Anolis sagrei: one gene and its partner. Each later gene encodes a partner of the first gene's protein in a complex. Links are inferred from orthologs where the notes say so. Each region holds a gene or a part of one and is shown on either strand. Other genes may lie near its edges.

The links.
Region 2: BICD2 (region 1) and BICDL1 share a complex: the UniProt entries of both Homo sapiens proteins name them as parts of the tripartite complex. The link is inferred for Anolis sagrei from reciprocal best matches to the Homo sapiens genes BICD2 and BICDL1.

The regions. Positions count from the first base shown.
Region 1 is NC_090022.1:61,125,328-61,141,423, forward strand, and holds the start of BICD2 (protein bicaudal D homolog 2), read left to right. Parts: upstream 1-8,307; 5' UTR 8,308-8,788; coding exon 8,789-9,028; intron 9,029-16,096. UniProt on the Homo sapiens protein: Acts as an adapter protein linking the dynein motor complex to various cargos and converts dynein from a non-processive to a highly processive motor in the presence of dynactin.
Region 2 is NC_090034.1:46,094,157-46,109,782, reverse strand, and holds the start of BICDL1 (BICD family-like cargo adapter 1), read left to right. Parts: upstream 1-8,343; 5' UTR 8,344-8,616; coding exon 8,617-9,003; intron 9,004-15,626. UniProt on the Homo sapiens protein: Acts as an adapter protein linking the dynein motor complex to various cargos and converts dynein from a non-processive to a highly processive motor in the presence of dynactin.

The DNA of each region.
Region 1 (16,096 bases):
TTGAAGGTTCCAGGAGAGGCAATTTTCTCTCATACACTTTTCTTGGTCAGAAAGCGAGTGATCTGGTCTTGGGGAGCCAAAAGGCAACATAGGATTGCTTTGTTTAGTCCTAGTGTAAATAACAAATTGAAACTCTTTTTGGTACATTCTGCTCATATAGCTTCTGTGAATAGTACAGGCATGCAAATTCATCTTTGGTCCTTGACACTTGGTGGCCTGGTTTCAGCTGATGGTGAGTGCATCAAGATGCAGTGAGATTAGATTTGCTGCCTCTACCCTGCCTTCCTAGAGTTCATATCCTCTCCTTTCCCATAAAACAGCCTATTACATTGCCTGCCATTTATCTCATTCATCATTAGAGAGGAGTGGGTCTCTAAGCATGTGCAGATCTCATTTCCATTGATGGTATTTAGATTAGAGGTGTGGTTTCCAATTAGTTATGAGTGCCACTTCCCCCTGTCAAAATTAAAGACTGGGTGTTGGTCATGAAGAAGGGAATCTTCCATTCAGTTTAATAATGTCTGGAAACTCTTTACAGAAACCTGCCTTATGCTTTTCTAGACCAGAGACATTGACAAACTAATGAAATCTTGGGAGGCACACATCTTTTCAGCTTATATACCAAGGCAGGCTTTGCTTTTATCTTAACTCATCTCAGGAGAGTCGTTAGACCAAGAAAGAAGAGTATGTGGTCCTCCAGATGTTACTGGATTGCATTTCTCATGCTCACTCACTAGTACAATATGGAGATGCATTCCAACATCTGGAAGACCACACATTCCCCACCTTCTTTTAGTCATTACCTAGATCTGTTCCCCACTCAACTCATCAGCTAATGAGCATGTTGCAATTTACCCTTTCTGCTAGTTTATTTTTAATTATTAATATTCACCATGATTACGGAGACTGAATTGACAGATCACATTCACTAGAAGGGAGGATACTTCTATGATTTCACCTGTTTTTGTAAGATGTTTGTACAGCTATACTATAATCTATGAAAGAGATATATCCTGAGCCTTTGTTTCTTTAACAGAAAATGTAGTAGCAGAAGCAGAAAAACATGTAAGGAATGGGGATGGGTTCTTACACTACAAAAAGAAAAGCAGTTCAACATATTCAAACAATCGTTTAATTCAAAACTAACTCTACACATGGAAATGAAACTACCAGATTTGGTAAGCCTTGCACATGTAAATACAAACTTTTTCACCTTTCTAAAGACAACCCCAAGTCTTCATCCAAAATACACCATGTAATTTTTTTTTCTTCCACAAGCATTCACTTTTCTTAAGATTTTGATTTTGGTAGTGAAAGTTCTAAATGTATGCTTTAAAAACCTATGTTGAGGGGATGGGGACGGGACCTGGTGAGGCTGCCTTCTCTGTTCTCTTCCTCTCTCTTCCTTTTCATGTTCATACATGCTCAGTAAGGGATTCAAGAGGCAGCTGCTGCTTACTTTGGCCAGGGTCACAAAGCTATATTAGGATTGGCTAGGATAGAATCCCATTCTTTCCCAGCCCAAGATTTTGGGGGATTGTTTATTATAGATATTATGCTGCAGCCAGGCACAAAAGTCTGCATTTCTCCGGCCTTTATTCACCTTCCTCCCAATGCCAATGATCTAAAACTTTTCTAACTAAACAGAGGATGGAGACAAAAACGGAGAGCTCAGCAGGCATAATAATCTTTTTTTAATATGATATTTATTGGAAAGAGCCATTGTTAATTATGTATGTCTGTATTTTAATACATCTTGCTGGAGGTGGGGGGTAATATTACAGCTGTAATCTCTACAGTAGGGTAGGTCACTGATTATCCACAACATCCAAATGTATATGCTCTTGAGAGTTGTAGTCTCTTGATTCATTTTAGCCAGGTACTTTGCTTGGTCTGAGCTTTGAAATGTGCTAACTAAATGGTCCTGTAAGCTTTTTTCAATTTCCAAAATCTGGCTTTGGGCTATTAGAATAAAACTGTAGATTTAGAGACTGCCATTGTTACCTGTTTGTTTGGAAATTGAGGCGAGACTGAAGTCCATTCAGCTTCAGTTTCTCCTGAATTTCTTCCTGGAACAGCGTCACGGGTTCCCTGGGCATAGCATGTTTGTTTCCTGGATTACCAATTTCCTCCTTCTCAAGATATATTGCCAAAGCCAGGTATATGCAATCTTTACACTTCAGCTAGAAGTTAACAGCAGTCTAGGGGCATAAAAAGTTAACTTGCAGCAATAATCTTGTTGGAATATTTTTTCCATTTACTTTGCAGTTTGAGGTTGAAAACAGCAATGAAAGCTGAGAATGAACTGGAGAAATGATTTCCCCCTCTATTGCTGAACCACTTATACAGTTCTCATAGCTATTAGCAGGGAGATGGGTCATGCTTGAGCTCTTCCCTTTTTGTTACTTGCTTCTGCACTATATAACTCCAAAGAGCCCATCTTCAATTAACTTCAGGATAAAGTATTTTCCCCAGACTAGGGGAGTCTGACATACTGTATTCTAAGCAATGGGAAATTTGATTACCAGCCAAGGGATAAGTGGGTAGAATTTGTTTGGGGCCCAGTTCTACCATCAGCTGTGGGAACATGCTGGAGCCCTTCAATGAAATGCCATGAATGTTTCTCTGAAGTGTACCATCTGCTGCATCATTTACCACCAATGTGTAACATGTGTCAGTCTCCAGCACAAAAAGAACCCTTGGAGAGGCCTGGAATTGCATACAGTACAGGAACCTAGAGGAATGTCAATTGTTTATTTGAGGAGCTGTTCAGAGGGGAATGCATTGGCCATTTCCTTATCTGGGTAACAAGAATGTCTAAGCCTGTTTAGTCCCCAGCCTTCCAAAACTGCAGCATTGCACAGTCCCTTTTGATGAAGATTTACATAAAATTTAATGATGCAGCCAGAGCTGCACTTTGGGACCCTGCAATAAATGTCCTCTCTCCATCACAAACTTAGATGGCAGCAGTTGTGGGGAGTAATGAGAAAGAGGCTTGGCATCAGCATCTGCTTGGTCCAGACAGGACTGATGCCGAAGTATCCTTCCTTGCTCATTTATAAAACATTTTAAAACCATGGAGTGAGAAGCCAAAAATATACATGGTTAGATTTTACATGAAATATATATTACAATACTTCTTTCTACAAGGAACAGGAGTGAGAGAATTGCATGGGGGCACCTTCCTCTAGGAGACTGTGCCTCAGGGAGATAATCCAATTAATAATTCTCTACTGTGTCCATCTTGGAGAAATGATAGGATTGCCATTTTTAAATATCTGAAGGAGATCATATAGAAGGTGAGAACTTGTTTCGGTTGTTCCAGGAACTAGAATATGAAGCAATAGATTTCAATAAGAAGAAAAAGAGATTCCATCTAAACATTAGGAAGGACATTTTTTACTGTGAGAGCTGTTCAACGATGGAACAGACTGCCTTGGAAGATGGTGGACTCTCCGTTTTTGGAGGTCCTTAAACATCTTGGAAGGGCATCTTTTAGGAGTGCTTGAGCTATGTCTTCCCATATGCCAAGGGTTTAGACTATATGACTCTTGTGGTCTATCCCAGCTCAAAGATTCTGTGAATCTAACAAAATAGTGTTTGTCAATACATTTAGTATCAGGGTCATCTGAAATAAATTGAACTCCATTTTATTACTATTATGATAGAAGTGAGCTTAACATTTAACAGTAATAATAACTTTATTTTTGTACCCTGCCTCCATTTCCCCAAAGGGACTCAATTTCCCCAAAGGGGTGGCTTACATGGGGATGAGCTCAATCAACATAGTTAAAATATAAAAACAAAATAAAAATAACATCATTACCAAATATCAAAGCAAACATCAACCAACAACATATGAATCTTCAATAATGATCAGTTTCTGCACATGCTCATGTTCTAAAACTTTTGTACTGTGCTTTTTAAACTTGACTAGCTGTGGGATTGTTAGCTACCTTGAGCCCCCACTGGGCAAAAGGTGGGTATAAATAAAGTTAATAATAATAATAATAATAATAATAATAATGCTCAGACTGCTTTTTAGAAACAGGGAGTGCCAAACTGTCATTTTTGTTTTGCTCTAAAAATATGAAGAATGCACCATTTGTAAAGCATGAAGTGGCAGAAAGAGGTGCAAAAGACAAATGTTTGGGTTTTTTTCTGAAATGTTAAACATGGACATTGAAAGCTCCTCCTCTTTCATTTACTTAGACCACTCAATTCAAGGTCTAAAATCACTTAACTATGTTACCAGTAAACCACATGAGCTAATAGACCAAACGCCACTAGGAGTTCAATTAAATTCAAGCCACGTGGCCTAACATGAATTGAAGGAAAAACTGAATACATGCTGGGTGTTCAAGAACATGTGAATATTTTCATGCTTGATGCAATTAAATTTAATTTCAGAATGAGGGAAGAAAAATAGCTGATTACATCAAACTTTTATATTTTTGTTTCCGGAAAGTTTTATAACAGTGAAGAATTTAGTGTGTCATTGCAGTTTTTTTTTTCACGTGGTAAATCCAGCCTCACCGTGCACACAACATGAAATGCTCAGATTGCAGATACAGTGCATGATTCTACAGGTGAACTTAAATGTCCTCTTAATAAATGCTGATGCTTTAAGCATGCCAGGTTGGATCAACATGACTGAAAGGTAGAAGATGAAAGTGTTTTATAAAGCCCTTTGGCAGTAGGCAGGGCAAGTACTGCGTGGTTTAATCCCCAGGTGTGTGCAGGACGGGTAATTGTTTTTGGTTTGCCTTCTGAATTTGCTACCATTTATTTATGATGAAAAGTAACATGGTGAATTACATTAGCTTCTGAAAAATGGGTGATTCCAGGAGGAAATTTGAAGTACTCCTTAAAAAAATAATCCTGAATTTTAGGGCTATTATATAATGCCACTGTGAGAGCTCTCAAATGTTTTCCAGTTCTATAGCCACTTTATGGATTCAGAAGATCTCTTTCTCTTTTTCCATGATTAAATTTACTCAGGAAGCTTTTGGCCACAGACTTTGTAATAAGCTTTTTGAAAGGCCAAGCACAGAGATGGCACTTTGAATGGAATCTAGGACAAGTTTGGAGCATTAAAGTAGGGTTTCCATGACGTGGGAAACCCAGCTCCAAATCCTTTTTCAGCTCCACGACCTGCTGGGTTTCCTTCTCTTATATTGGTACCCTGCTGGGGAATCTCTGAGACAAAGCTGCTTATTCCCACTGGGCAAACCCAGAAGTGATTGGGGAAAAGATGGAAGGTGAGTCATCATTGCCCAGTCCTTAGCATCACCTTAGTGGCTCTCCACCTTAGCAACAACGTCTTCCTTAAAATAATAAAACTGTAATAATGCATTTCCATGCTGTTTTGTTAGATTAACAGAGAGACTGTTGCAATTCCTTGGGGTGAGGAAGGAGCGGTACTGTTCTTTTCATTTAACACAGTGAGATGTCTGTCTCAAGACAACAGATCTGGGGTATCATAAAAGTGCATTGATCATCGAGGGTCCTATCACACTACACTGTTATAGCACTATCTTTCCACTGTAACTGTCATTTCAACATCTTATGGAATCCTAGTATTTACAATTTGGGTATTCAGCAAGCTTTTGGGCCTCACTAATAATAGTTTCTTATCGTGTCAGGAGCAAATTGAGAAACTGTTGCTTCCAGTGTGAGAGAATTGGCTGTCTGTGCGGGCGTTGCCCAGAGGATGCCCAGATGTTTGGATGTTTTACCATCCTGTTGGGGGGCTTCTCTCATGTTTCCGCATGGGGAGCTGGAGCTGACAGAGGGAGCTCATCTGTGCTCTTCCTGGATTCAAATCTCTGACCTGTCGGTCTTCAGGGGGCTCCAATACTGCTACTACTATTACTACTACTACTAATATGAATAATATGCTTTATTTATTTTCTGCCCTATCTCCCCAAGGGGACTCAGGAAGGATTACAGAATGCATATACAGCAAGCATTCAACGCTATCATACAATTGACAAGGACAGACAATACATAAACAGAGGTAAAACTAAGAATTCTACAGGATGTTCCCATGGTAGTTAAAGTGGGATAATAGCACTATAACAGTGTGGTATGACAAGGTATTTATTTGTTATAATTTTTCATTTTACTTCAAGATGTAGGAGATGTAGGCAAAGGAGGAATTTATTGCCTCATGTACTGTCTTGATTGATTTAGTATATTGATATAGATGAAAGGGGAAACATGTCCTAAGGCCTGCTCACACTGCACGGTAATAGCACAATTATGCTTAAACTGCCATGACAGCATCCCATGGAATCCTATAATTTGCTTTTTAGTGAGTGGTATTCAGAATGCTCTATAGAATCATAGAATCATAGAATCAGAGTTGGAAGAGACCTCATGGGCCATCCGGTCCAACCCCCTGCCAAGAAGCAGGAATATTGCATTCAAATCACCCCTGACAGATGGCCATCCAGCCTCTGTTTAAAAGCTTCCAAAGAAGGAGCCTCCACCACACTCCGGGGCAGAGAGTTCCACTGCTGAACGGCTCTCACAGTCAGGAAGTTCTTCCTCATGTTCAGATGGAATCTCCTCTCTTGTAGTTTGAAGCCATTGTTCCGCGTCCTAGTCTCCAGGGAAGCAGAAAACAAGCTTGCTCCCTCCTCCCTGTGGCTTCCTCTCACATATTATACATGGCTATCATATCCCCTCTCAGCCTTCTCTTCTTCAGGCTAAACATGCCCAGCTCCTTAAGCCGCTCCTCATAGGGCTTGTTCTCCAGACCCTTGATCATTTTAGTTGCCCTCCTCTGGACACATTCCAGCTTGTCAATATCTCTCTTGAATTGTGGTGCCCAGAATTGGACACAATATTCCAGATGTGGTCTAACCAAAGCAGAATAGAGGGGTAGCCTTGAGTCACCTTGACTTCCATCAAGTCAACCCCAGGCCCGTAGCCAGGATTTCGTTTCGGGGGGGGCTGAATTTTTTTTCAGGGGGGGTTTCGGGGGGGGGCTGAGTTTTGGGGGGGGGGGCTGAGTCTGAGTGAAAGAGGGTCTAGCCTAGCAAACCTTTTGTATCATTACCCCAATACCCCCATGCATATGGGATATATTGAGTATGGTGATCAGATCATGATAGGAATAAACATAACAGTTTAAATAATGCACCAATAAGGCCTTTTCGCGAACCACCATGAAAATTTCGGGGGGGGGGCTGAAGCCCCCCAAGCCCCCCCCCCTGGCTACATGCCTGGTCAACCCTATTTCTTTTCATCAAGTCAACCCTATAAATGAGAGACCCCTAAGCCACCCAATGTTCATTTAGCCCTGCTCAGGTCTTCAAGACTCAGGGTCATGGCTTTCTTGATTGAATCACACCACTTGGAATGTGGTCTTCTTCTTTCCCCATTGCTTTCTACCTCACCAAGCATTGGTTTGCTGGCTGATATCTGAATAGAGAATGGGCCAGAGATGTCAATGCCTTCACCCTTTCACTACAGTAGAGTCTCGCTTATCCAATCTTTGTTCAGCCAGTGTTCTGTATTATCCAACACAATCTGCCTCCCGCTCAGATCCACGGAGAAAGAAAGAACCCTTGTCTATTTTGGTGCTGAATTCATATAGTAATTACTACATAATGTTACTGTGTATTGAACTGCTTTTTCTGTCAATTTGTTATAAAACATGATGTTCTAGGGCTTAATTTGTAAAATCATAATGCAATATAATCATATTTTATTTATTTACAGTATTTATATACTGCTTTTCTCATCCTGAGGGGGACTCAACGTTTTTTTGTATAGTTCTAATATTTGCATTTTGTAAGATTTGTAAATTGTATAGCTATTCAGATGGTGAGCCACTCTGGCTCCCTGTTTTGGGAGAAAAGCAGAATACAAATACATAAGATTATTTATTTATTTATCATGTCAGAAGAGAATTGAGAATATAGTTATAAAAAACCCCACAAAGTTGAAAACTTGGGATTTTGCTAAATTTCCTTTGGCCAGACGCTGGCCACTTGGGAGTGCCTCTGGTGTCTCTAGGATAATGATGGTGATGGCGATTATGATGAAAATGGTGATTTTGACGATGGTGACAATAATGAAGGGAAAGCCCCAATCAGCTGCGAGGCGGACCCTCGTTCAGGCTGAGAGCCAAGTGTGGCCGCACTTCCCGCGCGCGGCCTGCAGGGGTCGCTGTTCGGAGCCTCATCCGGCGACGCCGCTCTCGCCCCCGCAGCGCTGCGCCGCCAGCTCCTTCCTCTCCTCCCAAGAATTCCTTCAAGAGGGCAGGGCCGGCTCCCATCGGCTGCGGCTGGCCTCCCTCGCTGTGCATTGTGGGAAGGGTAGTTCCGAGGCCTCGGGATAAGCTCGCCCGCTAAGGAGCGGCGGACTACAACTCCTACAATGCCGCGGGGCCAGCGCCTGGCCGTTCCTTTTGAATGATTTCACTGCGGTTTCCATTCCCAGCGAGAAGCGCCGCAGCAAGGGAAGGAAGCGGGCAGGCAGGCAGGCGCCGCAATCATGCTCTGAGGATCCCGCGGGCCAGCCAGGAAATCCACTCGATCCCTTGAATGGCAGCCTGGGCGAGGAGGGCTAGAGGAAAAGGAGCCATGGCCGCACGAAGACTGGCGCGGCTTTGAAGCCTGCAGAAAATCACACACACACGCACACGCATCCCTATTTTGGTCTATGTGGCCAGCGCGGGCTCCGTCTCGCTCTGCCTGCGCCGCATTCCCTCCCCCGCTGGTGGAGAGCGCCGCCGCCGCTGCTTGCCGCTGAGGGCAGCTCTGCTTGGGCGAAGATGTCGGCGTTGCCGGACGAGGAGGAGTACGCGAGGCTGGTGCGGGAGTCGGGCCCGGAGTGGCTCCGCGCGGAGGTCAAGCGCCTCTTCCAGGAGCTGGGCGAGACCACCCGCGAGAAGATCCAGGCGGCCGAGTACGGGCTGGCCGTGCTGGAGGAGAAGCAGCAGCTCAAGCAGCAGTACGAGGAGCTTGAGCTCGAGTACGAGACCGCCCGCGGGGAGATGGAGCAGCTCAAGGAGGTGAGGGAAGGGAAGGGAAGGGAGGGAAGGGAAGGGAAGGGAGGGAGGAAGAAAGGAGGAAGAAGAAAGGGAAGGGAGGAAGAAGAAAGGGGGGGGGGAGATGGGGGGAGAAAGAGGAAGGGAGGAAGAAGCAGGAGGAAGAAGAAGGGGGAGAGGAGCAAGGGGAGGAGGAAGAGGAGGAGAAGGACAAGAAGAGCGGGGAGGAAGAACAGGAGAAAGGGAGGAAGAAAAGATAGGGGAGGAGGAAGAGGAAGGGAGGAAGAATAGAGGAGGATGAAGAGGTGGGGGAGAAGAGGAGGAAGGAGGGAGAGGAAAAAGAGGAAGAAGAAGGCTCAGGAGCAAGGGGAGGGGGATAAACAGGAGCGAAGAGGAAGCGAATGAGGAGAAGGAAGAAGAAGAAATGGAAGGACAAGAGGAGGAGGAGGAAGAAGAGAAGAAAGGGGGAGGAGGAACATGGGACAGGAGCAAGGCGAAGGGGTGGAAGATAAGGAGGATGAAGTGGTGAATGAGGAAGAGGAGAAAGGAGGGAGGAAGAAGAGAAGAAAAGGGGAGGAAGAAGAAGGGGCAGGAGCAAGGAGAGGGAGAGGAAGAAGAGGGGAGGAGGAGAGGGAAGAAGAAGAAAGGGAAGGCCAAGGAGGAGGAGGAGACAGGGTGAGGCAGAAGAGTCAGGAGCAAGGCGAGGGGAAAGAGAAAGAGATTGAGGAGAAGGAAGAAGAAGAAAGGGAACCATAAGAAGAGGAGGAGGAAGAAGAAAGAGAAGGGCAAGAAGAGGGGGAGGAAGAAAAGAAAGGGGGAGGGAGAAGAAGGGTCAGGAGGAAGCCAAGGAGGAGGAAGAAGAGGAAGAGAATGAGGAGGAGAAGGAAAAAGAAGAAAGGACAAGAAGAAGAGGAGAAAGGGGAGGAAGAAGGGGCAGGAGCAAGAGAAGGAGGAGGGGGAGGAAGAAAAAGTGCTGGGGGAAAGAGGAGAAATAGGAAGAAAAGAGAGGAGGACGGAGGGAAAGACAAGGAAGAAAGGGAGGGGCAGGAAGAAGGGGGTGAGGAAGAGGAAGGGAGGAGGAAGTAGAGGAAGAGAATGAGGTGAAAAGGAAGAGGAAGAAGTATTGGGTGAGAGAGAGGAAGAAGAGGGGGAGGAGTAGAAAGTTGAGAGGAAGGAAAAGGCAGAGTAGAGGAAGAGGTGAAGGAAGAATAGGAGCAGGGGGAGAGAAAGAGAGTGAAGAAGAGGGGAGGAAAGCCTACTTGTCCTCTGGGCCCTGGAAGTGGAATGATGAGTGGGTTGCAAGGCAGGAAATATGTATGCATGCTGGAGAGATACAGATTGCAGGGGGGAACATGGGCTAATGCTTACAGCTCTGCCAGCCTGGAAGAGTCCTGCCAGCCAGGAATTGAGTGAACACTCACACACAGACACACATGTTTCTAAGTAGCAGCTGGTGTGGAGGAAGGCCAGGCCTTCTTGTTTTCCTTTATTCTGGGCCCTTGGGGTGGGCTGGTTGGAATGTAATGTTGTTGGGTTTGTTTTTTTTGCAAGACAGGGCATTCCTGCAGGAGATCTATAGCATGAGCCAGTGTGGATCAGGTCAGGCTGGAATTGAATATGCTGGAGATGTATAGCATGCCAGGGGGTGGGTGGGAAGCACTAGCCACAGTGGTTAGAGCAGCCTGGAATTTAGAGTGTGTATGGCAGGGTTGTTTTGTAGGAAAGACATAGGGACCCCCTTGCACATGCCAGAGACATACAGTGTGTGTGTGGGGAGTATAGGCCAGTGGTTGGAAATCCCCTGGGGATTCTGGCCAGGCAGTCGGACTGTGCACTTGGCTGGTGATGATGGCGAATAATAATAATTAATTTGTTACCGACCTCTCCATAGATAAAAACAAGGCTATTAAAACACATATATTCAAAGACATAGACCTGAGATTAAAACACACTGAAATCACAATTCCTACTAATAAAACGTCAGTTCAAATTCACAAAAATATTAGGCCATTGAAACACACACACACACACACATATATTCAAAGACATAGGTCTAAGATGAAAACCCATTAATATTGGTGTGAATGTGTGTGATGTGGAAAGGAAGCGACTCCTTGCCCACCTTCCCTAGGTTTGCACATTGGCAATAAAGTCACAGGAGAAAGGCGCCTTGGCCTTCCTTGTTTCTGCTGGCGCAGTGCCTTGCCATTCCCTTAAAGGGGCAGCTCAGTGTATTCCCTTAATGCACCGTGCCGGTCCCATGACATCTGCAGCTTTCCTCCACACTGCAGGGAAATGGCCAGGACAGTAGATAGGGTGCATCTATACTGTAGAATGAATGCAATCAGACACCACTTTAATTTCCATGGCTCAATGCTATGAGATCATTGGAGCTGTAGTTTTACAGGTCTTGAGCCTTCTCTGCCTAAGAGTGCTGGTCTCTCACCAAGCTACAGCTTCCAGGATTCATTAGCATTGAGTCATGGAAATTAAAGTGGAGTCAAACTTCATCCACTCAGTTGATGCATTGCCACTAAAGATGCCTCTACACTATAGAATGAATGTAGTTTAACACCACTTTAATGGCCATGGCTCATTACTATGGGATCTTGGGATTGGTAGTTTGGCGAGAGGCAGCTAAAATACCTTGTAAAACTACAGCTTCCGGGATTCCATCGCATTGAGCCATGCATTTAAAATGGCGTAAAACAGCATTATTCCTACACTGTTTATTCAACCAAAGTACTGAGGTTAATAATCAAGTTATTGATTGAAATCTGGTACAGGCATCTACAAGAACTGTCCCCTTCCTGGCCTATTTCAGGTTGGCTCGATGGAATTAGCTACTTAGGTCTAAATTACATTATTTAATTGCCTGCTGCATTGTGTCTTCAGATGCACAATTACTGATATTTGGAGAGTGTGGGAGGCATATTTGCTTAACCAGAGAAATGAGTATGCATTTTCAAACAGCTAATAATTAAGGGTTCCTCGGGGCAGTTTTGTCTGCTGGGAGGTTGCAGTGTTAATGCAAATAGATGAACAGTTTATTGAAAGCAACAGAACAAACTCATGGAAGTTCATGGAAGCTCGGAAGGCAATAACTTTAACTTCTCCCAGTGGTGTAAAAACCATTTCAATTGTTACTCTGGATTCTGGAAAGTGTACACCTGCCTAAGAGTTTGAGATATTATTTCAACTATGTTCAGGACTTTTCTTTTGAAGAAAGAGTCCAAAACAGCCATTGTGTGCTCGTGACTATGAAGTATTTGGTTTTCGTTGAATAGGTCTTATGACCACAGTTTTGCACAGGTAAATTAATTTATTATGAATATTTCCCTTACCAACATAATCATCCATTTTTCCCTGTCCCACAATGTGTGCTATAATAGAAGAATGAGTAGCTATGGTCTCTCTTTATTTGGGTAGGTTTGATCAGGTGACTTACTTAGAGCACATCACCTGATTTTTGCTTTTCTAGGTTTTTAACCTCTCATTTTTGTTTTGTTTTTATCACTCATATACCTGCAGCTGAATTTCTGAATTTTACTGATTTTATCCAATGGGTTTTGTGTAGTGAGATATTCACGTTGGTTGTTATTGTTTGATGTTATTGTTTCTGCAATTTTTGTACTTTATGTGTTTGCACCTCTGGGAGATGGTGGCAGGGTATAAATAAAGTTTATTTTATTATATTAAATTAAATAAAAGGATAAACTAAAACATGGAAGCCCTCTCTTTGGTTTTGATTTGAAGCTGTTTAATTGCAAACAGCAGAACTGTCGCTTGGCAGCTGTGACAGTCTGGATGAGGGCAAACAAATTGAAATTGAATTCAGACAAGACAGAGGAACTCCTGGTCAGTCGTAAGGCCGAAGAGGGTGTAGAGTTACAGCTTGTGCTGGATGGGGTTACACTCCCCCCACAGTTTCGCAGTTTGGGAGTGATCCTGGACTCATTGCTGAGCCTAGAACCCCAGGATTAAGCAATGGCCAGGGGAGCTTTTGCACAATTAAAACTTGTGTGCCAGTTGCGCCCGTATCTTGGGAAGTCAGACTTGGCCACAGTGCTCCACACTCTGGTTACATCGGGAATAGACTACTGAAACATGCTGTACTTGGGGTTGCTCTTGAAGCTTCAAGTAGTCCAACAGGCAGCAAGCAGATTTCTCACCGGAGTGGGGTATGGAGAGCATACAACTTCTTTGTTATGTCAGCTCCAGTGGCTGCCAGTCTGCTATCAAGCACAATTCAAATTTCTGGCTTTAGACTATAAAACCCTAAACGTTCCAGCCCGATTTACCTGTGGGATCCTGCCTGAATGTATCTCCCTCTATGAGCCAGCTAGAAGGTTAAGATCATCTGGGGAGACCCTGCTCTCGGTCCCACCTCCTTTGCAGGCGCGACTGGTAGGGATGACAGGCAGGGGCTTCGCAGTGGTGGCCCTCCCAAATGAAATCAGATCAGCTCCCTCCCTCCTCACCTTCAGGAAAAAGCTAAAAATGTGGATGTGGGATCAAGCATTTGGTTAGTAACCCATTAGAGAATACGGAATAGTGCAATGACAATCTGGAATGGCCATGGATTATGATTTTGGATATTGTGATTTTTAATAAGTGTTTTAAGGTTTGATATGTTTTTAATGACTATTTTAATGTATATGTTTATTTTATTATATATGTATGTTTACATGGCATTGAATTGTTGTCTATATATGTAAGGCGCATTGAGTCCCCTACGGGGTTGAGAAAGGCCGGCTATAAATATGGTACATAAATAAATAAATACATTTAATGGACACAAGAGAAGCTGGTTTTTTAAGGTGGCATAAAACATTACAAATTTGCTAGCCATTGGAACAATAATGCAGGCCCAACTTCAGTATTTACTTAACAGAGGAAAAATGTTTAATTAAATAGTGCAAGTCTTTATGATGGCACGGTTTGTTAATGAAGCCTGTTCTCAACCAAGGTGCTTAATATTATCCTCACCGTTTAATCAAAAGAGTTTTAGGAGGTCACTATTAATTATTTTTCAAGGTCTTCTTTAAATCCAAATCTATCTTAGTTTCTGGGAAGACGTATCTATGGAGTGATGTCCATCGCCTGGAGCAGGCCTTACAAATGGTGTGTTTGAACAGCAGTGTGATGCCTTTGTGCTCACTGTTCTGTGTCCCTCCTCTTCTGTGCCATGTGCAAATGTGACAACTGCAACAATCAGCAACATAAGCACAGATGAAAGGCATTTCTGTGGCTTAACTGGGAAGGAGGTGGGATTTCCAATGATCAGATAAGATGAGAATTCAATACCTTTGGATCTTGTTACCCCTTCCTTTGATTGCAAATGCTAAAATGTTATGCTAAAAATTAAGCAGATGTTCTCTACTTATAATTGGGAATCTATACAAGGAGCAGAATCTATTCCATTTTTCTTTGTGTGGAATGTTTTGAGCTGAAACTACACATCATTGGTAGAGAGCCTGATTACATATGGACTGGATTTGGGAAAATTATAATTCTTTACAACTTTGTTGCTATGGGGAAGTCTGGGTCTCATTAGGGACTTCCTAAATTTTTTGCAGATGTGCAGTGAGCTGCCTGAAAAAAACAACTCTTAAATTGCTGCTTATACACAGAATCACAATGGTTAAGCTTGTTCAGAAGAGTTCTAGTCTTTTCCTATGTTTGGTTTAGTCAGAAATAAGTTCACTGGATCTTGATGGGATTTACAATATAAGCTGTTGGAGCTAGGCTTAAGAAATAGCATATTTTTGTATGCCATCTTTCTCCTGATCAGGGATTTAGGGTGGCTAAATGTATAACCATAGCTTCAGAGCTAGCACATAGTCTTTCTCAAATACAATTCTGCATTGGCTTTTTTTATCAGTATCTAAACAGGTTGTATGTATTAGAATATTTTTCACTCTTATTCTTAGTTACACACACTGATTTGTATCCAGATGAGCCATAAAACAAAAGTCTATGCAAATGTACAGTACTTATAACAGCAGGAACACAGTGATTGCATGTTGCTAATTATTAGCATTTCTGTTTAGGCAAAGGCTGAAAAGGCTGCTTAATATGGGAACATGCTCTTTTTCTTTCCTGTTTCTCTATTCTAAATAGCCAGCTTATTTGAAAGAAAAAATATTGTTATGTGTGAGTCTGTAATGTCATCTCTCCATTTTTGTGCCCACCCTGTTCTGGGATCTAGCATTTTTGGTAAAATATTGAGCTGTCAGAAGAGGTAGAACAATCCTGTGAAACAGATTGCATCTTGATTGTTTGTCAGATAGTGATGAAAAATTGTGTAATGAAGAGGAAATAAACATTGCTCGGAGATGCACAGTTATTGTAATTTTTGCTTCCTGCCATTTTTCTTAGACTAAGTAGAGGGATACAGACAATACCTATTGTCTCCTCCACCTGAATTTATATGGTCAGGTGTGCATCTTAGTTAAGCAATGGGCACAATGCCACATTTATTTATTTATTTATTTATTTATTTCATATACTTCTACCCCGCCCTTCTCAACCCCCGAGGGGGGACTCAGGGCGGCTTACAAAAAGGCACATCTTGGTGCCTGCACAATACAATAACATATAAAACCAGCAATTAAATGGTCAACAATTAAAACAATTAAAACAACAATATATCACACAATCAATAGCCAATCTCAGACACAACGTTCACCAACTCAGAGTTCATATTTCGTTCCACCTCGTCCAATTCCTATCCATCGTCACAGCCTTTATTCATCTGCCAGATTGCCCAAACGCCTGGTCCCACATCCATGTTTTTAATTTCTTTCTGAAGGAAAGGAGGGATGTTGCTGATCTAATCTCCCCGGGGAGTGAATTCCATAGGTGAGGGGGCACCACTGAGAAGGCCCTGCTCCTCGTCCCCGCCAATCTCACTTGTGACAGAGGCGGGGCCGAGAGCAGGGCCTCCCCAGAGGATCTTAGACTCCGAGATGGGACGTAAAGGGAGATGCGTTTGGACAGATACGCTGGGCCGGAACCGTATAGGGTTTTGTAGGTCATGAAAAAGCTTCCATCTCACTGCTTCCAATGTGACTCTTGGAGGAAACGGTT
Region 2 (15,626 bases), on another chromosome or scaffold:
TTATTATTATTATTATTATTATTATTATGCCCAATGGGAGGGCCAATCCTGGCCAGATGTCAAGGCATTGCACTGGTTATGTTTGTTCTCAATTCAAAGCTGGTTTGGGTCTAGATACAAAGAGAAAATCAGAGTCATAACAGACTCATCAAGTCCTAAGTTTTATGGATGCATTTTAACTATGTTGTGATCCGCCTCAAGCTGAAAGGAGAGGTGGAATAATAATAATAATAATAATAATAATAATAATAATAATAATAATAATAGAAAAACAACAAGATTAGTACACAGCAAACAAGATCACTATGCTGGCTGTTGTATTATATCACACATCGGACACTTCCCAAGTGTCTAGGACTGTGTGATTATCGGCGAATAATGTGTGCAGATCCCAGTAAGGTGGTCTTCTGTAGCTGACTTTGTCAGCAACGATTGTGTTTAAGTGCAGGCCAAAACCTTTAGGCACTGCACTCAGTGTGCCGATCACCACTAGGACCAGTGATACTGGCTTGTGCCAGTCTTTGCAGTTTGATCTTTAAATCCTCATATCGTGTCAGCTTTTCCAGTTGTTTCTCTTCAATCCTGCTGTTGCCTGGGATGGCAACATCAATGGTCCATAATTTGTTTTTTCACACGATCGTGAGGTCAAGAGTATTGTGCTCCAAAACTCTGTCAGTCTGAATTCAGAAGTCCCAGAGTAGTTTGACATGCTCATTTTCTGTAACTTTTTTCAGGCTTGTGATCCCACCAGTTGTTTGTCGCAGGCAGATGGTATTTGTAGCACAAGTTCCAATGGATCATCTGAGCAATGGTGTTATGCCTCTGCTTGTAGTCTGTCTGCGCAATCTTCTTGCAGCAGCTGAGGATGTAATCTATCATTTCATCTGCTTCCTTGCAGAGTCTGCACTTGGGATCTGTCGTTGGCTTTCCAATTCTGGCTTTGATGGCATTTGTTCTAATTTCTTGTTTTTGGGCTTCCAGGATCAGGTCTTCAGTCTCCTTTTTCAAAGTTCCATTTGTGAGCCACATTCATGTTTTTAATTTGTCAATTTTGCTCTAAATTTTTTCCAGGAACTGTCCATGGAGAGCCTTCCTTTGCTAGTTTTCTCTTTGCTCTGGATTGTATTTTTACGATATTCACTCTTTGTCTTTTGCACTTTAAGCAGTTTACTTCTTCTTCTTATTATTATTATTATTTGAAAAACACCAAGTTTAGTACACAGCAAACACAATCACTATGCTGGCTGCTGTATTATATCAAACACTGGACACTTCCCAAGTGTCTAGGACTGAATTATCTGTGTAACAGTATTATTATTATTATTATTATTATTATTATTATTATTATTATTAGCTTGGATACCTGGCAATGCCTGGGTTATTTGAAAATGGGAGGGCCAGTCCTGGCCAGATGTCAAGGCATCGCACTGGTTATGTTTGTTCCCAATTCAAAGCCGCTTTGGGTCTGGATCCAAAGAAAAAATCAGAGTCATAACAGACTCAACTCCTAAATTTTATAGATATATTTTAACTATGTTGTGCACCGCCTCGAGCCATAAGGAGAGGAGAAATAATAATAATAATAATAATAATAATAATAATAATAATAGTGATCGGCACACAGGGTGCAGTGTCTAAAGACCTTGGCCTGCACTTAAATATAATCGGCGCTGACAAAATTACCATCTGCCAGATGCAAAAGGCCACCTTACTGGGATCTGTACGCATTATTCGCCATTACATCACACAGTCCTAGACACTTGGAAAGTGTCCGACGTGTGATCCAACACAACAGCCAGCAGAATGATCTTGTTTGCTGTGGACTCATCTTGTTGTGTTTCAAATTATTATTATTATTATTATTATTATTATTATTATTATTATTATTATTACCAGGATTGTGGCACAGCTGGCTGAGTGTCAGCTGCATTAAAATCACTCTGACCAAAAGGTCATGAGTTCGAAGCCAGCCTGGGTTGGAGTGAGCGTCCGACCAATTGTGTAGCTTGTTGTTGACCTTTGCAACCCGAAAGACAGTTGCATCTGTCAAGTAGGAAAATTAGGTACCATCTATGTGTGGAGAGGCTAATTTAACTAATTTATGAGGCCACAAAAAAGACTCCAGCAAAGCATGCGGGGAATGCGGAAGTACTTCATCAGTGTCGCAGATGGACGATGAAAGCGAAAGCTCCCCTGGTGGCCAGAAAAGTTAAATAGCCTCTGTGTATGTCTATATACGTTGTATGTCTAATTGGCATTGAATGTTTGCCATATATGTGTACATTGTAATCCGCCCTGAATCCCCTGCAGGGTGAGAAGGGCGGAATATAAATGCTGTAAATAAATAAATAAATAAATAAATAATAATAATAATTATTATTATTATTTGGAAGAGACCACAAGGGCCATCCAGTCCAACCTCCTGCCATGCAGGAACACAAAATCAAATTGTTGTTGTTGTTGTTGTTGTTGGTCTGAAAGGTATTTCCATGCTGGCCCATGACCTGCGGAACTCTCTGCCAAAAGAAACTTTCCTGGCCTCACAACTTCTAGCTTTTAGAGCAGTGGATCCCCAGATGTTTTGGCCTTCAACTCCCAGAAATCCTAACAGTAGGTAAACTGGCTGGGATTTCTGGGAGTTGTAGGCCAAAACACCTAGGTTGATGTTTATTTTGGTGTTTATTTATACCCCGCTTTTTCTCTCTGTGAAGGGGACTCAAAATCATCCTACAATAAAAGCATTTCCATACACTTTGAAATCCAACAATATGCAAACATTAAAATAGAACAAAACATCAGGGTATGAATTTCAAATGACCAGTCCAAATCTTTAAAATGGATTCAAAGCTAAAACCACGGATTTCACCCTCCATTTGATAGGTGTGCTCTTGTGTCTATGTTGTTATATGTATTTCAGTACTGTTCTGTTTCATTTCCCTGTTTCGACCTGTTGCACCCTGCTGCACGACAGCCTCAATAAGTAAGTGCAATTAAGTGCAAAGATGCATTGCTGAGCCCCTGTGCAGAGGGCTAACTGGGAATCCTATGCACACTTTCTGGAGAGTAGACTGCTTTGAGCCTCCTTTGTGGAGGGAAAAAGGTGGGGTATTAATAATCTATCTATCTATACACATAATAAAAGTGAAAAAGTGTATGTGTGTATTTGGCAGAGGTGCCCACTTACACAGACAGACTCCCACCTCCAAACAGCTTTAACCCGCAGTGCTGAAGAGCCACCAAAAGCCCTCCCTCCAAGGACATTACAGGTTACGGCGGGCGCCATGACCATGTAGCCCAAACCTTGCCAATGTCCTCCACAAAGACCATACTGCCCGCCCTCAAGTGAAGGCTTTCATTCAGGGACAATTTCATCCTAGATGTTCTGTTTTTCCTCCAGAATGGACATCCCAGGGTTCCTTACTCTTTCTATTGCTGTGGAATTTGCATGACCCCGCCCAATGCCTCTCCCCTTACCCTTTCCTATTATTATTTTATTTTATTATTTGCTTTATTTGTATACCGCATTTTTCAGCCTATACAGGCGACTCAATGCGGTTTACATGGTACAGGTTATCACAACAATGTCAGTGCAATTAAAACACAACAAATATAACAACAAAATCAATAGCATCAATCAACAACAATTAACAAATCAAACATCGCCTCCGTGAAATCAGATCCGTTCTTGTAATCCTTGTGCCATTCCTATGTTCCATTTACCGTCTTCCTATGTTCGGTTGCACTGTTTAACCAAACGCTTGTTCATAAAGCCAAGTCTTGACCTTTCTCCGAAACGCCAGCAACGAAGGTGCCTGTCTGATGTCTGCTGGTAAGGCATTCCATAGCCGAGGGGCCACCACTGAGAAGGCCTTGTCTCTCGTCCCCGCCAAACGCGCCTGCGATGCAGGCGGGACCGAGAGCAGGGCCTCCCCAGACGATCTTAATGTTCTAGTCGGTTCATAGGTGGAGATGCATTCGGAGAGGTAAGTGGGGCCAGAACCACTTTCCTATGGCACACAGCAAACAGGAATTGATCAGCAACTGAACAAGAGGTTTGGGAAGAGTTCACCATGATTTATAGGAGTTGTAGCTCATCTACATCCAGACAGCACTGTGAACTCAGCCAATGATGGATCTGGACCACACTTGCTACGGATGATGGTATTTGCAATACTTTCACACACTTCCCGAGACCACTGCGACTCCCACAAATGGCGGATCTGGACCACACCTGCCACACAGGCCTCCCATGGTCTACTTTACATCTTTGTGAGGTTTGGGGAAGGATGCACTATGGGAATTGCAGTATCATCACTCACTATCAGAAACCACTGCAACCTGAACGAATAATGCACCTGGACCCAATTTAACACACAGACTCCCTATGATGCACTTTCTGTCCTGCTGATGGTTGGGGGAGGATGGACCACAGACAATGGGATTTGCAGTACCTTCACCCACTTCCACAGACCACTACGACCCCCCTTACTTTACTTAGGCAATCCCTCGCTTTCCGAGGATGATTGTCTTCCAGTGTTCTTGTGGGTCTGTATGTGGCTGTGGAGCCCTATTCTTGCTCTGCATCTTCTTCCGCAGTGAGGGCATTGGTTTCCAGGTGGAAGGCGGTCTCGGTCGGGGTTGGCTTGACGCGCCCTCCTCTTGGCACGCTTCTCCCTTTCACCCTCCATTCATGCCTCCTCAAATTCTGCAGCACTGCTGGTCACAGCTGACCTCCAGCTGGAGTGGTCAAGGGCCAGGGCTCCCCAGTTCTCAGTGTCTATGCCAGAGTTGTTAAGGTTGGCTTTGAGCCCATCTTTAAATCTCTTTTCCTGCCCACCAACATTCCGTTTTCCGTTCTTGAGTTCAGAGTAGAGCAACTGCTTTGGGAGACGGTGGTCGGGCATCCAGACAACGTGGCCGGTCCAGTGGAGTTGATGGTGGAGGACCATCGCTTCAGTGCTGGTGGTCTTTGCTTCTTCCAGCACGCTGACGTTTGTCCGCCTGTCTTCCCAAGAGATTTGCAGGATTTTCTGGAGGCAGCGCTGATGGAATCGTTCCAGGAGTTGCATGTGACGTCTGTAGACAGTTCACGTCTCACAGGCACGATTAACAAACCTGGGACAAATTTGGGACATAAAACCCAAACCCAGTTTGGGGAACTGACACACTTGCGTAGGAGTTATAGTTCTTCCTGCATCAGGACCACTCTGAACCCCATCAATGAAGGATCCGACCACACTTCGAACACAGAACCCTGGTGACCATTAGAATATACTGGCAGTGTTTGTGGGGGATCGACCTACCCATGTGGAAGTTATAGTTCACTCTGTACCCAGAGCACTCTGAATCCCACCAATGATGGATCTGTGCCAATCATGGCATACAGAACCCTGGGGACCAATACATCATACTGGAGATGTTTGTGGGGGGACCGACCCACCCACATGGAAGTTGTAGTTCACCCTGCACCCAGAGAGCATTCCGAAGACCCCAATGGCGGATCTGGAACATACGTGGCAAACAGAACCCCAATGGCCAACAGAACATATTGGAGGGGTTGCGGAGGGGATGACCCACCCATGTGGGAGTTGTCATTCACCCTGCATCCAGAGCACTCTGAACCCCCTCAAAAATGGATCTGGACCAAACTTGGGACACAGACCCAACATGTCAAACTGTGAATATAAGCTGAGTTTGGGGGTAATTGCCCTAAGAATCTGGGAGTTGTAGTTCACCTGCGTCCAGAGAAACTGTGACACCCCCCCCCCCCCGCCATCAACATTGGACTGGGTCCAAACTTGTCACAGAGAAGCTCCATGACCAACTGAACATACTGCAGGGGTTTGTGGGAATTGACCTTGATTTTGGGAGTTGTAGTTCACCCGCATCCAGAGAGCACTGAACTCAGCCAACGTCGGGTCAAATTTGGCACACAGATGCAACCTGACCAACTGTTCGTACAGGCCTGGTTTGGGGAGGGTTGACCCACGTTTTTGGGAACTGTAGTTCACCCACATCCTTATACATTTTCTAATGGGAGCATTCATAAAATGCTAATAATAATAATAAGGCCCAGCGAGCACATTGGGATGACCTTCTGAGTCAACCTGCTTCAAAGCAAGCTGTAGCAGGGCTCAGGAATGCTGTTTGGATTGCAACTCCCATCATTCTCCAGTTAAAATTAGGATTTATTAAATGGGCACCCCCAAAGGACAAGACTGGCTTAAATGGGCCACAGATCGACTCAAGATGAGACAGCTTCCAATAGCCTGTATCTGACTTAGCCCATTCTTCATTAATACATTCTCTAGGTTTTTCCCTCATGTTCTGACTCCTAGGATTGTATCATTCTAGGACAGTGTGGATGGACCACTGTTGGGAGGACTTGAATGGTGTCTCCCTGGATAGTGGAAGGGGGCTGGACTGGATGGCCCTTGGGGTCTCTCCCAACTCTATGATGGATGGCCATCTGCTTGTGTCTTCCAGCATAGTGGGAGATGGTTGGACTGGATAGCCCTTGGGGTCCCTTCCAACTCTAGGATGGTATTATTCTAGGATAGTGTGGATGGCCCTCTGTTTGGAGAGCTTAGATGGTGTCTTTCCCGGCAGAAGAGGGTTGGACTGGAAGGCCGTGGGGGTCTAGGATGGTATCGGTATAATAAAAACCATCATCACCAACTTCTTTCTCTAGAGGTGTTTAAGCAGAGACAGAATGGCCCTCTGTTTGTGTGGGCTTCTATGGTGTCTCCCTGCATAGTGGGAGGGAGCTGGACTGGACGGCCCTGGGGGTCCCTTCCAACTCTGCAATGGTATAATAATAATACTCCCTTATAATGGAGTCTTCTCAGGAGGTGTTTAAGCAGAGACGGAATGGCCCTCTGTTGGGAGGGCTTGGGTGGTGTCTCCCTGTATAGTGGAAGGTGGCTGGACTGGATGGCCCTTGGGGTCCCTTCCAACTCTGGGATGATATAATAATAATACTAATAATGGAGTCTTCTCTGGAAGTGTTTAAGCAGTGACGGAATGGCCCTCTGTTGGGAGGGCTTGGGTGGTGTCACCCTGTATAGTGGAAGGAGGCTGGACTGGATGGCCCTGGGGCTCCCTTCCAACTTTAGGATGCTATCATTCTAGGACAGTGTGGATGGCCCTCTGTTGTCTGGGTTTGGGTGGTGCCTCCCTGCATAGTGGGAGGGGGTTGGACTGGATGGCCCTTGAGATCCCTTCGAACTCTGGGATGGTAAAATAATAATAGTAATAATGAAGTCTTCTCTGGAGATACGGAATGGCCCTCTGTTGGGAGGGCATAGTGGATGGGGGTTGGACTGGATGGCACTGGGGATCCCTTCCAAATCTGGGATGGTAAAATAATAAGGCTAGTAATGGAGTCTTCTCCTCTGGAGGTGTTTAAGCAGAGGCTGAATGGCCCTCTGTTGGCAGGGCTCGCTGCATAGTGGAAGGGGGCTGGACGAGAGGGCCTGGGGGTCCCTTCCAACCTTAGGATGCTGTCATTCTAACACAGTGTGGATGGCCCTCTGTTGTGTGGGTTTGGGTGGTGCCTCCCTGCATAGTGGGAGGGGGCTGGACTGGATGGCCCTGGGGGTCCCTTCCAACTCTGGGATGGTAAAATAATAATAGTAATAATGATGTCTTCTCTGGAGATAGGGAATGGCCCTCTGTTGGGAGGGCTCTGGTGGTGTCTCCTTGCATAGCGGATGGGGGCTGGACTGGATGGCCCTGGGGGTCCCTTCCAACTCTGGGATGGTAAAATAATAATAGTAATAATGAAGTCTTCTCTGGAGATAGGGAATGGCCCTCTGTTGGGAGGGCTCTGGTGGTGTCTCCTTGCATAGCGGATGGGGGCTGGACTGGATGGCCCTGGGGGTCCCTTCCAACTCTGGGATGGTAAAATGAGAAGGCTAGTAATGGAGTCTTCTGCTCGGGAGGTGTTGAAGCTGAGGCTGACTGGCCCTCTGTTGGCAGGGCTCGGGCGGTGCCTCGCTGCCTGGTGGAAGGGGGCTGGACGGGAGCCCCCCCCCCCCCGGGGGTCTGTGGCGCCCTGTGGGAGGGCTCCGGCCTGGCTGTGTCTGGCGCGGTGTTCCATCTGGAGAGGCGGGGCTGCGCGCCTTGCCAACAGGAGCAGGAATGTTCTGGTGCCCGCCCGGGCAGGCAGGGGTGAAGCCGGGGGGCGGGGCTTGCGGGGGTGGGCGGGGCCGAGGCGGGCACCTGTGGGCGGGGCGTCGTGGTCATCGGCGCGCGGGCCAATGGGAGCGGGCGTGGGAACAGGTGCTGTTCGGCGTCAGGGGCGCGCGGGGCGGGGCCTGCGGGGCCAGGGCTGCGCGGGGCTGGCGGCTGGCATCCGGCGTCGGCAGCGGGTCCCGCGCGATGTCCTGCCGGCGCCGCCCGGGCGGAGATGGGGCGGGAGGGGCGCCGCGGAGCCGGCCCGACCGCCCGAGCCGCGCGGGGTGGCCGTGACTGCGGGCCGCGGCGGCGGCGTCGGAAGCGGCGGCGGAAGGACGCCGGAGGAGAAGCCTGAGGAGGAGAAGCGGAGCGCGGTCCCTTCCTCCCTCCCTCCCTGCCCCTGCCCCTCTCTCCCCCCCTCCCTCCCTCCCCCGGGCCATGGCCGCCTCCTGCCTCCGCCTTTCAGCACCCGCGGATCTGGACAGCGCCGGGCGCCGCATGGAGCTGCCCGAAGGCCGCGACGCCGCGCCCGCCACGCCGGACCCGGCCTTGTCTTCCTCTTCCTCCGCCGCCGCGGACCTGGAGCTGGTGCTGGAGGAGGAGCTCGCCCTGCTAGCCGCCGCCGGCTGTGAGGAGAGCCGCCCCGCCGCCGCCGCCGCCGCCCAGGAGAGCGAGGCCGCCGAGCCGGAGCTGCGCTCCCTCATGAGGCAAAAGGAGAAGGACTTGCTCCTCGCCGCCCGGCTCGGCAAGGCGCTGCTCGAGCGCAACCAGGACCTCAGCGGGCAGTACGAGCGCATGCACAAGGAGCTCAGCGAGAAGCTGGAGGTGAGGCGCCTGCCCCGGAAGCCCGGCCGCGGGGGGCATCCTGGGAGATGTAGTGTCCCCACCGCACCGGAAGGAGGGGCCTCTGCTGCAAGCAGCCGGGCCCTGGCCTCCACCCGGCGGGGGCCACACTTCAGGCCTGCCAAACGCAGCCCCGGCCCAAGCCAGGCTCAAACGCCAGGCACGCCCCATAGCCCACCATCCCCTCCCAGGTCTTCTGCTTTGAACTACATTCTAGGAGTCCACACTGACACATAATTATCGGGGACACACAGAAAAGCCACCTTCAAGGGTAGAAATGCACTCAAGAAATAAAACCTGGCACCAGATCCTAGGATATAGGGTCTGTCTAGAAGAGCCCCCCAGGGTTCCCTTCCAAGTTTTCGGCTTTGAACTAGATTATATGACTCCACACTGCCAGATAATCTGGGATACACAGACAAGTCACTGAGTCCCCTCCAGGGTGATATAGAGAGGGGCAGAAAATCAACCAATAAACAAACTCTGGGATATAGGGCCTGTCTAGAAGGGGCCCCAGGTTTTCTGCTTTGCACTGGATTATATGACTCCACACTGCCAGGTAATCTGGGATACACAGAAAAGCCACTCTGAGTCTCCTCTAGGGTGAGATCGAGCAGGGTAAAAATACCATAAGTAAATATATCCTGGCATCAGATCCTGGGGTATAGGGCCTGTCTAGAAGAGCCCCCCAGGGTCCCATCCCAAGTTTTCAGCTTTGAACTGAATTATATGAGTCCACCCTGTCGGATAATCTGGGATACACAGAAAAGCCTCTCTGAGTCCCCTCTAGGGTGAGATAGAGCAGGGCAGAAATACAATAAATAAATAAATCCTGGGGTATAGGGCCTGTCTAGAAGAGCCCCCAGGGTCCCATCCCAGGTTTTCGGCTTTGAACTGGATTATATGAGTCCACACTTCCAGATAACCTGGGACAATTTTATTTATTTATTTATTTGCTGTATTTTGACCCCACTGTATCTCAGTCCCAAAGGGGACTCGGAGCAGCTTCCAAATTGGCAATAATTAAATGCCACAATAAACACAAACCTCTAAATACAATATACATTATACATGACATAAACAGAAAACCTGAGATCAGATCCTGGGATGTAAGGCTTGTCTGGGAGGGCCTCCAGGATCCGATCCCAGGTTTTCTGCTTTAAACCCAATTATATGAGTCTGCTCTTCCAGATAATCTGGAATAAACAGAAAAACTGCCATCAGATCCTGGGGTATAGGACTATCTGGAAGGGTCCCTAGCTACAGAGGCAAAACTAACTACCCACATTAACTTGAGTCTCATGCGCCATCTAATAATGATAATAACAACAACAACAACAACATATCTCTAATATGTGTTCAAAGGAGGGCGACTAAAATGATCAAGGGTCTGGAGAACAAGCCCTATGAGGAGCGGCTTAAGGAGCTGGGCATGTTTAGAATGAAGAAGAGAAGGCTGAGAGGAGATATGATAGCCATGTATAAATATGTGAGAGGAAGCCACAGGGAGGAGGGAGCAAGCTTGTTTTCTGCTTCCTTGGAGACTAGGACGCAGAACAATGGCTTCAAACTACAAGAGAGGAGATTCCATCTGAACATGAGGATGAGCTTCCTGAATGTGAGAGCCATTCAGCAGTGGAACTCTCTGCCCAGGAGTGTGGTGGAGGCTCCTTCTTTGGATGCTTTTAAACAGAGGCTGGACGGCCATCTGTCAGGGGTGATTTGAATGCAATATTCCTTCTTCTTGGCAGGGGGTTGGACTGGATGGCCCATGAGGTCTCTTCCAACTCTTTGATTCTATGATTCTATCCCAGGCCCTTGGAAAGAGACCAATCCCAGACACTTTGACTTAATGTGCATGTGTGCTGCGTTGTTATATACATGTAATTAACAACAACAAGAATAACAACAAAATAATAGGAGACAAGGACTGAATGGAGCCATGGGTTCCAATGACAGGAAAGGAGCTCCCACTTTAACATTAGGAAAAACTTCCTGACTGTAATAAGAGCTGTTTCAGCAGTGGAACTCTCTGCCTTAGAGTCTGGTGGAAGCTCTTTCCTTGGAAACTTTTAAACAGAGGCAGGATGGCCATCTGGTGAGGATGCTTTGATTGTGCTGAGGAGGAGGTTGGATAGAATGGCCCCTGGAGTCTTCTATAAAATACCATATTGACTCGAGTCTCATGCGCCATGGCATAATAATACTAATAATAAAATTAAAACATAAAATACTGTATTGACTCAAGTCTCATATGCCAAATAATAATAATAATATTAAAACATAAAAAACCATATTGTCTTGAGTCTTGTGCGCCATCAAATAATAACAATTTAAAATACCATATTGACTCGATTCTCATGCACCTTCGAATAATAATAACAATAATAACAATAGTGAAACATAAAATACCTTATTGACTTGAGTCTCATGCACCATCAAAAATAGTAATAATAATAATAATATTGAAACATGAAATACTGTATTGACTCAAGTCTCATTCGCCATCAGATAATAATAATAATAATAATAATAATAATAATAATAAGCATAATAGAAGACTAGGACTCAATGGAGTAATGGGTTCAAATGACAGGAAAGGAGATCCCATTTGAACATTAGGCAGAACTTCCTGACTGTAAGAAGAGCTGGTCAACAGTGGAGCTCTCTGCCTTGGAGTCTGGCGGAAGCTCCTTCCTAAACAGAGGCTGGGTGGCCATCTGTCGGGGATGCTTGGATTATGGTTTTCCTGCATGGCGGAAGGGAAGGGGGTTGGACTAGATGACCCATGGGGTCTCTTCCAACTCTAGTATTCTATAAAATACTGTATTGACTCGACAACATATCTCAAGTAATCTCAACATATCTCGAGTAATATAACAACAATAATTAAAAAAACCATAAAATACTATATTGACTCAAGTCATGCACCATCAAATAGTAATAACATAAAATGCCATATTGACTCGAGTCTTGCGCGCCATCAAATCTAAGGCGCACCTCCGTTTTCAAAACCCCCAAAAGTAGTTGCTGGCAAACATCATGTGCAAAAAGCAGCCCAAAGTGCCCTCTTTGTCATTTGACCATTACCATTGCTGCTTGCTTAGGATTCCTTCTTTAAAAACAAACATGTTAGACTAGCAAAGGTTTCAGCAACGGAAAGGAAAACCTTGAGGCGCATCTATGCTGTAGAATGGATCCACTTTAACTAAGGAGTCATGGGGGACGTAGTTCTACAAGGCCTTGAGCCTTCTCTGGCAAGGAATGCTGATGCCTCACCAAACTACAAATCCCAGGATGGCATAGCATTGAGCCAAGGCAATTAAATTAGAAATAGTGCTCCTCAAATAGGAGCTCCAGGTGTAGCTCCTGAAGCAGCTTCCCCTTTTGCTTTGGGTCAGCACTAAGTGTACCTTATTACACGAATTGAATGCACATCCTAATTTGTGCAAGGGAGTTTAGTCAAAAAAGGTGAGCATTAGATTTGAGAAAATCAAATGTGTATACGTATATACATAGCAGTCAGTGCTCTTTAGTGTTTAGCCGATGTTACTAAAGGACTTCTCTGGTCCTTTTTGATTATCTGTGAGCGATGGGCGCTGCAGCCCAACAGGCCTCACCTGGAATAACTAGAGAGATGATTGGCCAAAACAAGCAAAATGAATTTCAACGGGGAGACTACACTTTGGTACTACACTTGGTACTACACTTTGGCAATAAAAAGGAAATGCGCATATATAGGATGGGGACCCCTGGCTTGGAAACAGTCCGTGGGAAAGGGATCTAGGGGTCTTAAGAGACTACAAGCTTGAACACAAGTCAAGAGTGTGCTGCAGCAGGTAAAAAGCCAAGAATATTCCAAGCTGCATCAATAGCAGCATAAGGGAAGCCATAGTCCCACTTTCATGTGCTTTGGTCCAGTTCCAGGCAAAGCAATTCAAGAAGGAGTTGGACAAGATGGAAGGTGCATAGAGAATGGCCACCAAAAGGATCAGAGATCTGGAATCATAGACTCATGGAATCATAGAGTTGGAAGAGACTTCATGGGCCATCCAGTCCAACCCCCTGCCAAGAAGCAGGAATATTGCATTCAAAGCACCCCTGACAGATGGCCATCCAGCCTCTGTTTAAAAGCCTCCAAAGAAGGAGCCTCCACCACACTCCGGGGCAGAGAGTTCCACTGCTGAACAGCTCTCACAGTCAGGAAGTTCTTCCTCATGTTCAGATGGAATCTCCTTTCTTGTAGTTTGAAGCCATTGTTCCGTGTCCTAGTCTCCAGGGAAGCAGAAAACAAGCTTGCTCCCTCATCCCTGTGACTTCCTCTCACATATTTATACATGGCTATCATGTCTCCTCTCAGCCTTCTCTTCTTCATTCTAAACATGCCCAGCTCTTTAAACCGCTCTTCATAGGGCTTGTTCTCCAGAACCCTGATCATTTTAGTCACCCTCCTCTGGACACATTCCAGTTTGTCAATATCTCTCTTGAATTGTGGTGCCCAAAATTGGACACAATATTCCAGGTGTGGTCTAACCAAAGCAGAATAGAGGGGTAGCATTACTTCCCTAGATCTAGACACTATGCTCCTATTGATGCAGGATAAAACCCCATTGGCTTTTTTTTGCCACCACATGACATTGTTGGCTCATGTTTAACTTGTTGTCCACTAGGACTCCAAGATCTTTTTCACACTTACTGCCATGGATCCCTCTGAATATGGGCTTCGGGAGATGGGTATGTTTAACTTGAAGAGAAGGCCCCATTGAGCAAGGGAGCAACTTGTTCTCTGCTACTCCAGAGCCTAGACACAAAGGAGAAATTGATTGAAACTGCAGGAAAAAAAAAGAGATTCCATCTAAAAATGAGGAAGAAATTCCTGACAGTGGACTCTGCTACCTCTGTGTCTCTTTCTCTGGAAGCTTTTAAGGAGAGGCTGGAAAGCCATCTCCCGGGAGGGCTTGGATTGGCAGGGGGTTGAACTAGATGCCCCTTGGAGTCTCTCCCAACTTTAGAATGCTATGATTCTACCTCTCCTGGGCAGACTTACTTGGGGTAAACAGCACTGACTCTCCTGGAGGGGACTTGGAGGAGACCTCACAGAATCATAGAGTTAGAATAGACCACATGGATCATCTAGTTCTAGTCCAACCCCCTGCCATGCAGGAAAAAGAACAATCAAAGCACCCCCGACAGACAAGCCTCATATTTGATGCCTTCCCGGCTGCAAGAATCTCCGAGGAGGTGAATGGAATGACAGCCTGCCAGTGTTGATATCTCCCTGCGTTCTCAGTCTATATAAATAAAAAAAATGTAATGTTTGTTTGTGGGATTAACACAACTCAAAAAACACTGGGTGAATTGACACCAAATTTGGACACAATACACCTATCAGGCCAACAAGTGACCATAATTGATAAAAACACTGAAAAACACAGCAGAAGAGACTTTAAAAGCCAAAAAAATAAAAAATACATTACAACTCATGTGCAAAACCACATATATACATATATACACAAATATATATACACACATATATACACACAAACACAACACATATACACAGACTCGGCCACAGCAATGCGTGGCAGGGGATGGCTAGTAGTAGTAGTTATTTATTTATCGTGTCAGGAGCAACCAGACATTTGTATTACATTTTTAACAACACAAACAAACAGACAGATAAAACACAACGTTTGCAAGCTTGGTAGTTGATTAAATGTCCTTTGAACAGTATCTGGCCACTTGGAGTGCCTCTGGTGTTGCCGCAAGGAGGTTCTCCATTGTGCATTTAGCAGGGCTCAGGTTGCATTGCAGCAGGTGGTCAGTGGTTTGCTCTTCTCCACACTCACATGTTGTGGACTCCACATTGTAGCCCCATTTCTTAAGATTGGCTCTGCATCTCATGGTGCCAGAGCGCAGTCTGTTCAGCGCCTTCCAAGTTGCCCAGTCTTCTGTGTACCCAGGAGGGAGTCTCTCATTTGGTATCAGACATTGGTTCTGGGTTTGAGCCTGCCACTTTTGGACTCTCGCTTGCTGGGGTGTTCCAGCGAGTGTCTCTGTAGAACTTAGAAAACTATTTCTTGATTTAAGTTGTTGACGTGCTGGCTGATACCCAAACAGGGGATGAGCTGGAGATGTCTCTGCCTTGGTCCTTTCACTATTGGCTGCTACTTCCCGGCGGATGTCAGGTGGTGCAATACCGGCTAGACAGTGTAATTTCTCCAGTGGTGTAGGGCGCAGACACCTCGTGATGATGCGTCATGTCTCATTAAGAGCCACATCCACTGTTTTAACATGGTGAGATGTGTTCCATACTGGGCATCCATACTCAGCAGCAGAGTAGCATAGTGCAAGGGCAGATGTCTTCACTGTGTCTGGTTGTGATCCCCAGGTTGTGCCAGTCAGCTTTCATATGATATTGTTTCTAGCACCCACTTTTTGCTTGATATTCAGGCAGTGCTTCTTGTAGGTAAGAGCACGGTCCAGAGTGACTCCCAGGTATTTGGGTGCGCTGCAGTGCTCCAGTGGGATTCCTTCCCAGGTAATCCTCAGAGCTCGGGATGCTTGTCTGTTCTTAAGGTGAAAAGCACATGTCTGTGTTTTAG